2 linked regions of the Macaca mulatta genome follow. The protein of the gene in region 2 purifies or fractionates together with the protein of the main gene of each other region. This does not show direct contact. Links are inferred from orthologs where the notes say so. Each region holds a gene or a part of one and is shown on either strand. Other genes may lie near its edges.

Evidence for each region.
Region 1: the proteins of S100B (region 2) and IQGAP1 purify together in Homo sapiens (co-immunoprecipitation; 3 studies listed by BioGRID and IntAct, with this or other methods). This does not show direct contact. The link is inferred for Macaca mulatta from reciprocal best matches to the Homo sapiens genes S100B and IQGAP1.

What each region holds. Positions count from the first base shown.
Region 1 is NC_133412.1:80,274,633-80,279,206, forward strand, and holds the start of IQGAP1 (ras GTPase-activating-like protein IQGAP1), read left to right. Parts: upstream 1-1,523; 5' UTR 1,524-1,588; coding exon 1,589-1,643; intron 1,644-4,023; coding exon 4,024-4,123; intron 4,124-4,574. UniProt on the Homo sapiens protein: Plays a crucial role in regulating the dynamics and assembly of the actin cytoskeleton.
Region 2 is NC_133408.1:985,946-990,292, forward strand, and holds the start of S100B (protein S100-B), read left to right. Parts: upstream 1-1,363; 5' UTR 1,364-1,433; intron 1,434-3,987; exon of another isoform or gene 3,988-3,994; 5' UTR 3,995-3,995; coding exon 3,996-4,133; intron 4,134-4,347. UniProt on the Homo sapiens protein: Small zinc- and- and calcium-binding protein that is highly expressed in astrocytes and constitutes one of the most abundant soluble proteins in brain.

The sequences.
Region 1 (4,574 bases), on a different chromosome or scaffold from region 2:
CATTATCTTGAAGGGAGTAATAAAAAAAAAATTAAAAAGAGAAACACAATTGCATTTGCACTCTAGAGAGAACACCGTGGTAACTGTGAGGATCTGGTTGGCAGAAGGGAGACTACAGCGTAATCACAACGGAGATGGAGACAAAAGTAGACACCTCAGAAATAAACACAGATTGGATGTAGGGCGTGAGGAAAGGAGCCTGGGGTATTCCCAGCGGGAATTGAGTACTTCTATGAATGGAGAATATAGCAGGAGCAGGGTCAGTATTTGACACGTGGGATTTGAAGTGTCTGCGCTATACACAGGTGAAAGTGTTCATTAGCTGAAAATACCAAGGGACTTCCAGATGATCTGGTCTGGTGATACATATTGAGGGGTCCTCAGCAGTTATAGGCGAGTGTAGAAAAGGTTACTGAGTGGGCAAAGAATAAACGGAAGAGGGCCGGGCGCGGTGGCTCACACCTCTAATCCCAGCACTTTGGGAGGCCGAGGCGGTTGGACTGCCTGAGGTCAGGAGTTCAAGACCAGCCTGACCAACATGGTGAAACCCCGTCTCTACTAAAAATATTAAAAAAGTAGCTGGGCGTGGTGACGGGCGCCTGTAATCCCAGCTACTTGGGAAGCTGAGGCAGGAGAGTCGCTTGAACCCGGGAGGCAGAGGTTGCAGTGAACCGAGATCACGCCACTGCACTCCAGCCTGAGCGACAGAGCAAGACTCCGTCTCAAATAAATAAATAAGAAAAAGAAAAAAGAAAAAACAGAAGAGGGCTGCGCTCATAATACCGTTGAATACCAATATCTGAAGGGCAAGCCACAAGGTGCAGGGGGCAGAGGCATCCCTGGTAAGGGAAAAGAGTTCTTTAGAAAAGAACTTGCAAAGAACAATGTCAAGGGATCTAAAGGTAGGGAGTTTGGACAGAGTTCCGCTTTAGCATCTGCATCTCAAATACCTGGGTAATCTGGTGACTGCTGCCGAATCTAAGAGGACTGAGGCCAGGTTGCCAAACTGCGGAGAGTGGGGTTGGAGGGCTTTTATGGCAGTTTGGAGCCTGCTTGTGTCCGACAAGATACCCTGGGCCACCTTCTCCGAGTATTGGTGCAGAGGTTAGCTGGGCCGGCAAGAGAAGGGAGATGACCCACTACTTTGATTTCAGGCAGCAGACACCCGCAGTTTTTCGGTTAGAGTTGCGGATAGGGCGGTGGCCCTGGGGGCGGGGCTATGAACCTGGGCGGGCATTCCCGGCAGGGCAAGCTCAGCGTGAGCCCGATTGGAGGATGGGCTCTACCTTCTTCCTTCCGCCTACGGAGACGGTAGCGGGATGCAGAGCGGGGCCGGGCTGAGGGGGCGGAGTTGGGGGCGGGGTATGGTGACGCTAGCCCCGCCTCTTTCCGGCCGCTCTGGGCGGTGCGGCAGGGCGGTGTCGCTCGGGCGGTCCCGCTGGGCCTGGGCCTGCGGGGTGGGGTTGACGGCATGGGCGGGGCCTCGGGGACCCGGGCAAGCCCGCGCACTTGGCAGGAGCTGCAGCTGCCGCTGTCCGCGCCTCCGAGGTTTCACGGCTTCTTCAGCGGAGACCCGGGCTCGGCCGCCATGTCCGCCGCAGACGAGGTTGACGGGCTAGGCGTGGCCCGGCCGCACTATGGCTGTGAGTGCGGGGCTCTGCGGCGCGGGGCTTCGGGGCCGAGCTAACTGCAGACGAGGCGCGATTTCCTTGGGGGCTCGGCCGGGCGGGTGGGGCAGGGCGGCTGCCGGCAGCTCGGACCCGGAAGAGCCGCCCGGGTGGGTCGGCGGGCGGGGAGGCCCCTGGTGCTCGCTCCCTCGGGGTCCGAGGCGGCGGAGAGGACCTCCGAGGCCTCCCGCCCTAGCTGGGGCCGCGGTAGGGGGGAGCCCCACCCAGCCCCTCCCGTCGCCCAAGCTCGACCGAGATTGGGGAAGACGGCCTAGGGTGAGGTGGCAGGAGGACCGCGCAGGGCGTGTCCCGGGGACTGGGGTCTGGGTACGCGGGCTCTGCCCGTTTCGTGGAAAGGCGCTGCCCTAGTATTGCCTGCGGGGTAGACCAGGGTCCAGACCTGTCCGGCCCCAGGCTAGGTAAGAGGTGCCGTCCTGGGCAAGTCACTTAAGTTTTCTCGGGCTTAGTTCCCTCCTCAAGATTTCAAAAGTAAAATAGTAAAAAAAAAAGAAAAAAAAAAAAAAAAAGAAACAAAATCCTAAGACTTCCTCATTTTCTGTTGTCGGCCCCGGACGTCATTGAACTGCAGGCAGGATTGGCTAAAGGAGGACCCTTTGAGATTATGAGGTTTTCGATTTTATTTTATATTCTGGGAATAATGTTCTTTTTTAAAGGATCAACATTTCACGCATCAACAGTTATTTGTGAGGTATTGTGCCACATTTATGAAATTAAAGATGAGTAAGATCAGGCCCTGCCTCCAAAGAACGTTTTAATCAGAGAGTCGGACAGGTGTGCATGCTAATAATTATAAGGTGCAATAACGATGAAAGATGCTGAACTTACTAGCCATACAGAGTAATGTAGGTAAGGAGAAGGGGCTTGGGGAAGACAGTATGAGCACGGAAGGTGACTTTTTTTTTTTTTTTTTGAGACAGAGTCTTTCTCTGTCGCCCAGCCTGGAGTGCAGTGGTGCAGTTTCAGCTCACTGCAAACTCCACCTCCCAGGTGCAAGCGATTCTCCTGCCTCAGTCTCCCGAGTAGCTAGGACTACAGGCGTCGGCCACCACACTGGCTAATTTTTGTATTTTTAGTAGAGACAGGGTTTCACCGTGTTGGGCAGACTGGTCTCAAACTCCTGATCTCAAATGATCTCCCCGCCTCGGCCTCCCAAAGTGTGAGCCACTGCACCTGGCCTGAAGGTGACATTTGAACAGAACCTTGAAGAATGCTGTGTAGAAAGTTTGACAGGTGGCCAGGCATAGTGGCTCCTGCGTGTAATCCCAGCACTTTGGTAGTCCAAGGTGAGAGGATCGTTTGAGGCCTGGAGTTTGAGACCAGCCTGGGCAGCATAGTGAAACTCCATCTCTAAAAAAAAAAAAAAAAAAAAAAAAATTAGCCAGGCGTGGTGTCCCACGCCTGTGGTCCCAGCTGCTTGGGGCTGAGGTAGGAGGATCATTTGAGCCCAGAAAGTTGAGGCTTCAATAAGCCATGAATGTGCCACTGTACTCCAGCCTGAGTGACAGAACAAGACCCTGTCTCAAAAGAAAAACAGTTTGATAGGGCATGTGGAACAAGAGACAGGATTTGAGGGAAGGACATGAACAAAGGTATTGAAGAGTAGCGGGACACTGTGTTGGGAACTGAGTGGTGTGGACTGCACAGTGATGGGAGGAAAGGCAGAGGAGAGTTTCCAAAAATAGTTGGGACCAGACTGGGAAAGGCCTTGAATGCCTTCCCAAGGAGTTAGGAATTTATTCCATACCTGGTGCCCATGAAGGAAGCAGATTGCTTCAAGGTTAAGCTCAGGCTTTGGAGACAGACTCTCCGGGTTTGGATTCAGGCCCTGCCACTTATTTGCCATGGGCCTGGGCTCACCCAGCCTCAATTTCTTCATCTGTAAAATAGGACTGATAATCACAGGATTGTTGTGGGGTTTCAATGAGAGAATGCATGTAAAATGCTTAGTACAGTTGCTGTCACTTATTTCTCAATAACTGCTGGCTTTGGTCATTAATAAAAGAGGGAAACAACATTATCAGATCTGTATTTAGAAGGAGTTCTGGCAGATAGGGACAGATTTCGGCCAAAATCTCAAGACAGTATTTTTCAAGATTACACTAAAACTTAGTACATATTTATACTATCATCCATGTTTAAAAAGGTCAAGATGAGTATAGTTGAAACCACATAGTTCTTGTTTTAGGAAAGTCATTGTAGTACATCTGGCTAGCTACACACTCATTAGTTACCCTGACTTTCTAGGTGAGTAGCAGGAAATTGATACTGTGGCAATCTTTTATCACTCAGGAACCCTACAGATCCTGGTGTTTACATTCTTTCTTTTATGTTTTAGCTGTCCTGGATAATGAAAGACTTACTGCAGAGGAGATGGATGAAAGGAGACGTCAGAATGTGGCTTATGAGTACCTTTGTCATTTGGAAGAAGCAAAGAGGTAAAGATTGGCTGGCTAGAGAGAAGATTAAGAGAAGGGAACTGATAATAGTGTGAACACAAATAAAGATTTCTTTGAGGCTGAGCACAGTGGTCCATGCCTGTAATTCCAACACATTGGGAGGCCAAGGTGGAGGGGAATCACTTGAACCCAGCTGTTTGAGACCAGATTGGGCAACATAGTGAGACCCTGTCTCTATAAAAAAAATTTAAAAAGTTAGCCGGGCATGGTGGTGCGCGCCTGTAGTCCTAGCTACTTGGGAGCCTGAGGAGAGAGGATCACTTGAGTCTGGGAGGTCGAGGCAGCAGTGAGCTGTGTTCTCATCACTGTGCTCTAGCCTGCCTGGGTGACAAAACTGTTTTGGGGGCAGGGGAAAAAAGAAAAGATTTATTTGGTATATTACAGATGTAACTGGGAAGCTGGTTGTTGAGGGAATAAGTATAGGTAGGGT
Region 2 (4,347 bases):
TTCAGGCTGCCACTCTGGGGAAGTGGTCAGCACTTACCGGAATGGTCCCTCCAACATCTGAGCGAGGAAGGGGCACAGAGCACAGTTGTGCCTTCCTTGGGCCTGGGCAAGCTCTGTGCTTCACAGAGCAAGCCTGTGCGGATCCTTCAGCAGAGACCACAGCCAGGGGTGGTGAAGCTTAAGAGGAAGTGAGGGCCAACCAACCGGCTCAGGCCGTTCCTCACAGGAGCCTGGGGCAGGCTGACCCACGCAAGACCACAGCTCTCGGCCCTGTGCTATTTCCAGGGCATACTTATAGATCCTGAATGGTAGAGAACTTCCTAGATAAAGCAATGACAGCAAAACAGCCGTGTACGCAGATATCTCGTGGGAAACCCTTTCACGGCCACTTCGAAACTGGGTTGGGAGAAGGACCTGATGCTGGGTCAGGCATCGGTTGGGGACCATGGACACGTTTGTAGAGTTTGGGCCAATGCTTTTGTGTAATTTGTCAGAAGGAACACCTACTTCCTCACTCTTGTGAGGAAGAACCCACAAACTGGCCCCCGTGTTCAGAGGCTCAGGTCGACAAGTTGAGGGGACAGCGGGACTTCTCCTTCTTCAGGCTGGCTGGAGCCTTCAGCAAGGGGTACACCGTCCACACGCCTCTGTAAAACAGCATTCGAACAGGACATCTCTAAGGCATTGTCCAACTCTGACAGTCTGTGACCTTCTACCCTGGGATGGAGGGAAAGGCCTTGGGATACAATCCACACATCATGTTTTCCCCTAAAAGTACCACCCTTTTTAGTCCCTGCAGACACTGGGTTCAGCAGCTTCTCTGAGGCAGCCCCATTGAGCCCAGGGCCGACCACAGACAAGCACTACCGTCCACAGAACCTCACGCCCGGTGGGGCCAGACGTGGAGGCTGGCAGAGGAGAGAAGCTCCAGGGGCCTCTCCATTAGAAACCAGCTTGCAGGCCACTTAATCTCCTACGCTCAGCCTGTGCTTGGAAGCTGCTGGTTCTTGGCTGCACATTTGCTTTGTTTGAATCAATTAATCCAAGTCTCTCTCCTCTCCCTACCCCCAACCTTGCCTTTAGGGGAACATCAATATTCATGTAATAAATAAATCACACAAAAAGCTGACTCCCCACTTCCTGCCCTACAGGCCCTTTTTTCTTCCTCATCCCATGTGCAATCCTGGCTCCCAGCAAGTCCCCGGGGCTGCTTGGTCAATGCAGCCCTGTGTGCAGGCCTGGCAGCCCTGCCACCCCCGCCCTCGGCCCCCATTGGCTGCCATGGCCTGCAGTGGGCTGCACCAGGGTTCATCCGTCCTCCCTGGGCAGATGGAATAAGAGGCTGCCTCTGCCCACTAGACCTGCCGCCCAGGACCCGCAGCAGAGACGAGGCCTGCAGCAAGGAGACCAGGAAGGGGTGAGACAAGGAAGAGGTGAGAAAGAGCCAGGCCAAGAGGACGCTCAGGAAGAAATGGTTGTTTTCGTTTGGGTGGAAGGGAATGGAGGGGTAGAAACTAAATGGTAGCTTAAAAAACCCCTTTAGGACAATTGGCAGCACTTCAGAAGTGTCAATAGGATGATGTGTTTTAATCTCTACATTATTGCTTCTTTGTGGACACCTGACTGCATCAGCCCTAGGCAGCTAGAGGTATTTTTCATAAATCAGAGAAACCTCAGGTCTCGGCCCAGAAGTGATTGCTGACATTTTCCCAGTGGTGCTACAAATACTACCTCTCCTGTAACTACTTGAAGAGTAAAGATTTTGCTTCCCACTGCAGCTGGAAATGATGGAGAACCTAATGCTAGTTTAGTCCATATCCTAAATAAACCCCTTTTCTCCTTGTTACTTTTTCCACCGCCCTGGGTAAGTAACTCTTCAGTTTTCCAGTTTCCCTCAGTTTGAAGTGCCAGGGTGACAACAGCCCCAGGACGCCACTCAGAAATTACGTAACAGTTACAAATAAATTGGGTCAAAGAAATTGGGGTTTTGGTGGGTTTTAACTTTCTTCAGTCTCACAGTTTCTTAGGGAGGTCGAACCCCTAGAGGGATCCTCACACGCTAGGTAACGTGTCTTTCTAAGGAGTTAAAGTTCAAATGTTCTCTTGTTCTCAATATTAAAAGATTAATGTAGGACATTCACAGAATGTGAGAAAGAAACAGATATTTATTTCCATTTCTCTTAAAAGATAAACTATAAACCATCAACTATTTATTAAGTCAAAGGGAAAAATTTAACAAGAATTTTTTAATTGATTTGTAGCGTGGTTATGAAGAAAACCATATTTTCTAGTGGTTTCTATTAGTGTTCTAATATATGGAATACATGTTTTATGCCTTTCCTTTGTAATAATCTCGTTAGTCATAGTTCATAGAAAAACAATTTAACCTCCTTTTCCCCAAATCATCATGGACTTTGAGGAGCATCAGAATGATGTAAAAGTGTCTTGTTTTGTTTTGTTCAAAAAAAATACACACACATATATCAATAATTGAAAACTTGAGTGCAAAGAATAAGAAAAGCATGAAATGTTAAAGATTTTAATCCATCTTAACTGTTCTATTTATGAATTACCAAATTTTTAGGGACTCAAGAGCAAAATAAAGTACACTGATTATTAATAGAATGCCTTTAGCAAAGATCTGGCCAGCACAAAAAAATCTTCAATCCTGTTTCCTTTGGAGCATCAGAAATAAATAAAATTTTTAACATCTAATTCCAAATTATTTTTAAGATGTAAGTCATATATTCAACATGGGAATGATTTTTCAACACTATTTATTAATTTATTTTTAATTATAACAGTGCAAATGTTCTTATTTGATGATTAGAACTCAAGGCCAAAAGCTGGTAAATTTCTCGGCCTGCCCATCTGTTTTGTGAGACAACTGACAAGGCATCCTTTGTAGAAGGCGCCTCATTCCCAGACTGATGAGATATTTCCTTGGTTTGCAGGCTGTGGCGTAAGGTACTTGCTGTGAGGGAGGTCGGAGGGCTCTTACTTTGACAGCTGCAGAGAAACACCTATTCCTGCCCCGTCCCAGTCACTGCAGTGGATGAACCAGCCTTTCCCTGCACTGGAGGTAGAATGCAGGCTCAGCAGCTCAGCTTCCTGCCGGATTCTGTCCCTCCCTGCCACAGAACCACACGCATTTAATCAGTTAAACTTAGGATACATTTTTTTTCCTGGTAGATCAAATAACTTTCACTGTTATTCTTCAAAAAGATTGTGGCAATTCTACCATATTTATTTTTCCAGATGAATTTTACAGCTATTTTTGTCATGTCACACATCCAAAAAAAATTCCATCATTTTTATTAAAAATGATTTAAATTTACATATGAATTTAAAGGAAAAACTTCCTACATTTTATGTTCCTCCGAATCTCTTGGAAGGACCTGCATTTTTCTTCCTAAACTTAGTCTTAGATCACATGCTATTTCTATATGAATAGGATATTTCGCACTGGATTTTCTATTTCTTTATTGATAGAATATAGGAATGCTCTTGATTTTTGTCTTATTTTGCTCCTAGTCACTGTCTCACTTTCAGATTGATTTTAACAGCTTGTAGTCGATGGTTTGCTCACCTGCACTCTACCACCTCATCTTGGAGCCTTACAAGAACAGAGAGGGACCCTGTGGGGAGGAAGCAGAAATTTAACCCGTGAATTCCTTTGCTGCTCTGCGTCTGTATTTTTGCTAAAGATTCCCTGTTGGACCAACCCAACCAGAAGCCAGAGGGCATGGGAATATATCCCTGTGGCCCACAGAGACAGAGAAGGCTCACATCTGTCTAAGAGGCAGGTGGAAGGATTGATAAAGGTACAAATTCCCAGAATGCCCCTCCAGGTCATGCCTGCTGTTCCGAGCTTGAAAAGAGTGCCAGGGCCAGTCCATCCCCCTTGTCTGGGTTGCGGTCTGTATTGATAACCTGTGAAATGTTTTATGATGAGGTATAGATGAGAAGGCATCTTTCCTTTGCGAGCCCCTAGGATGTCTGAGCTGGAGAAAGCCATGGTGGCCCTCATCGACGTTTTCCACCAATATTCTGGAAGGGAGGGAGACAAGCACAAGCTGAAGAAATCCGAACTGAAGGAGCTCATCAACAATGAGCTTTCCCATTTCTTAGAGGTGAGTCTTGCTTTTTACACTTGACACCTTCTCCATCTCCTCTTAAAAAGCCACCGGTACACTGGCTTTATCTTCTCAGCTGCACTGAAGGTAATTTCAGTTTCCTTCCAGGACTCCTGGGCTGCTTCTGCAAACTTGTTTGAGTAACGGAACCTCAGTGTAGGACTGGCTCATATAGGCCCCTTGTTTTCATGTCCTTATCAACCATCTTGTG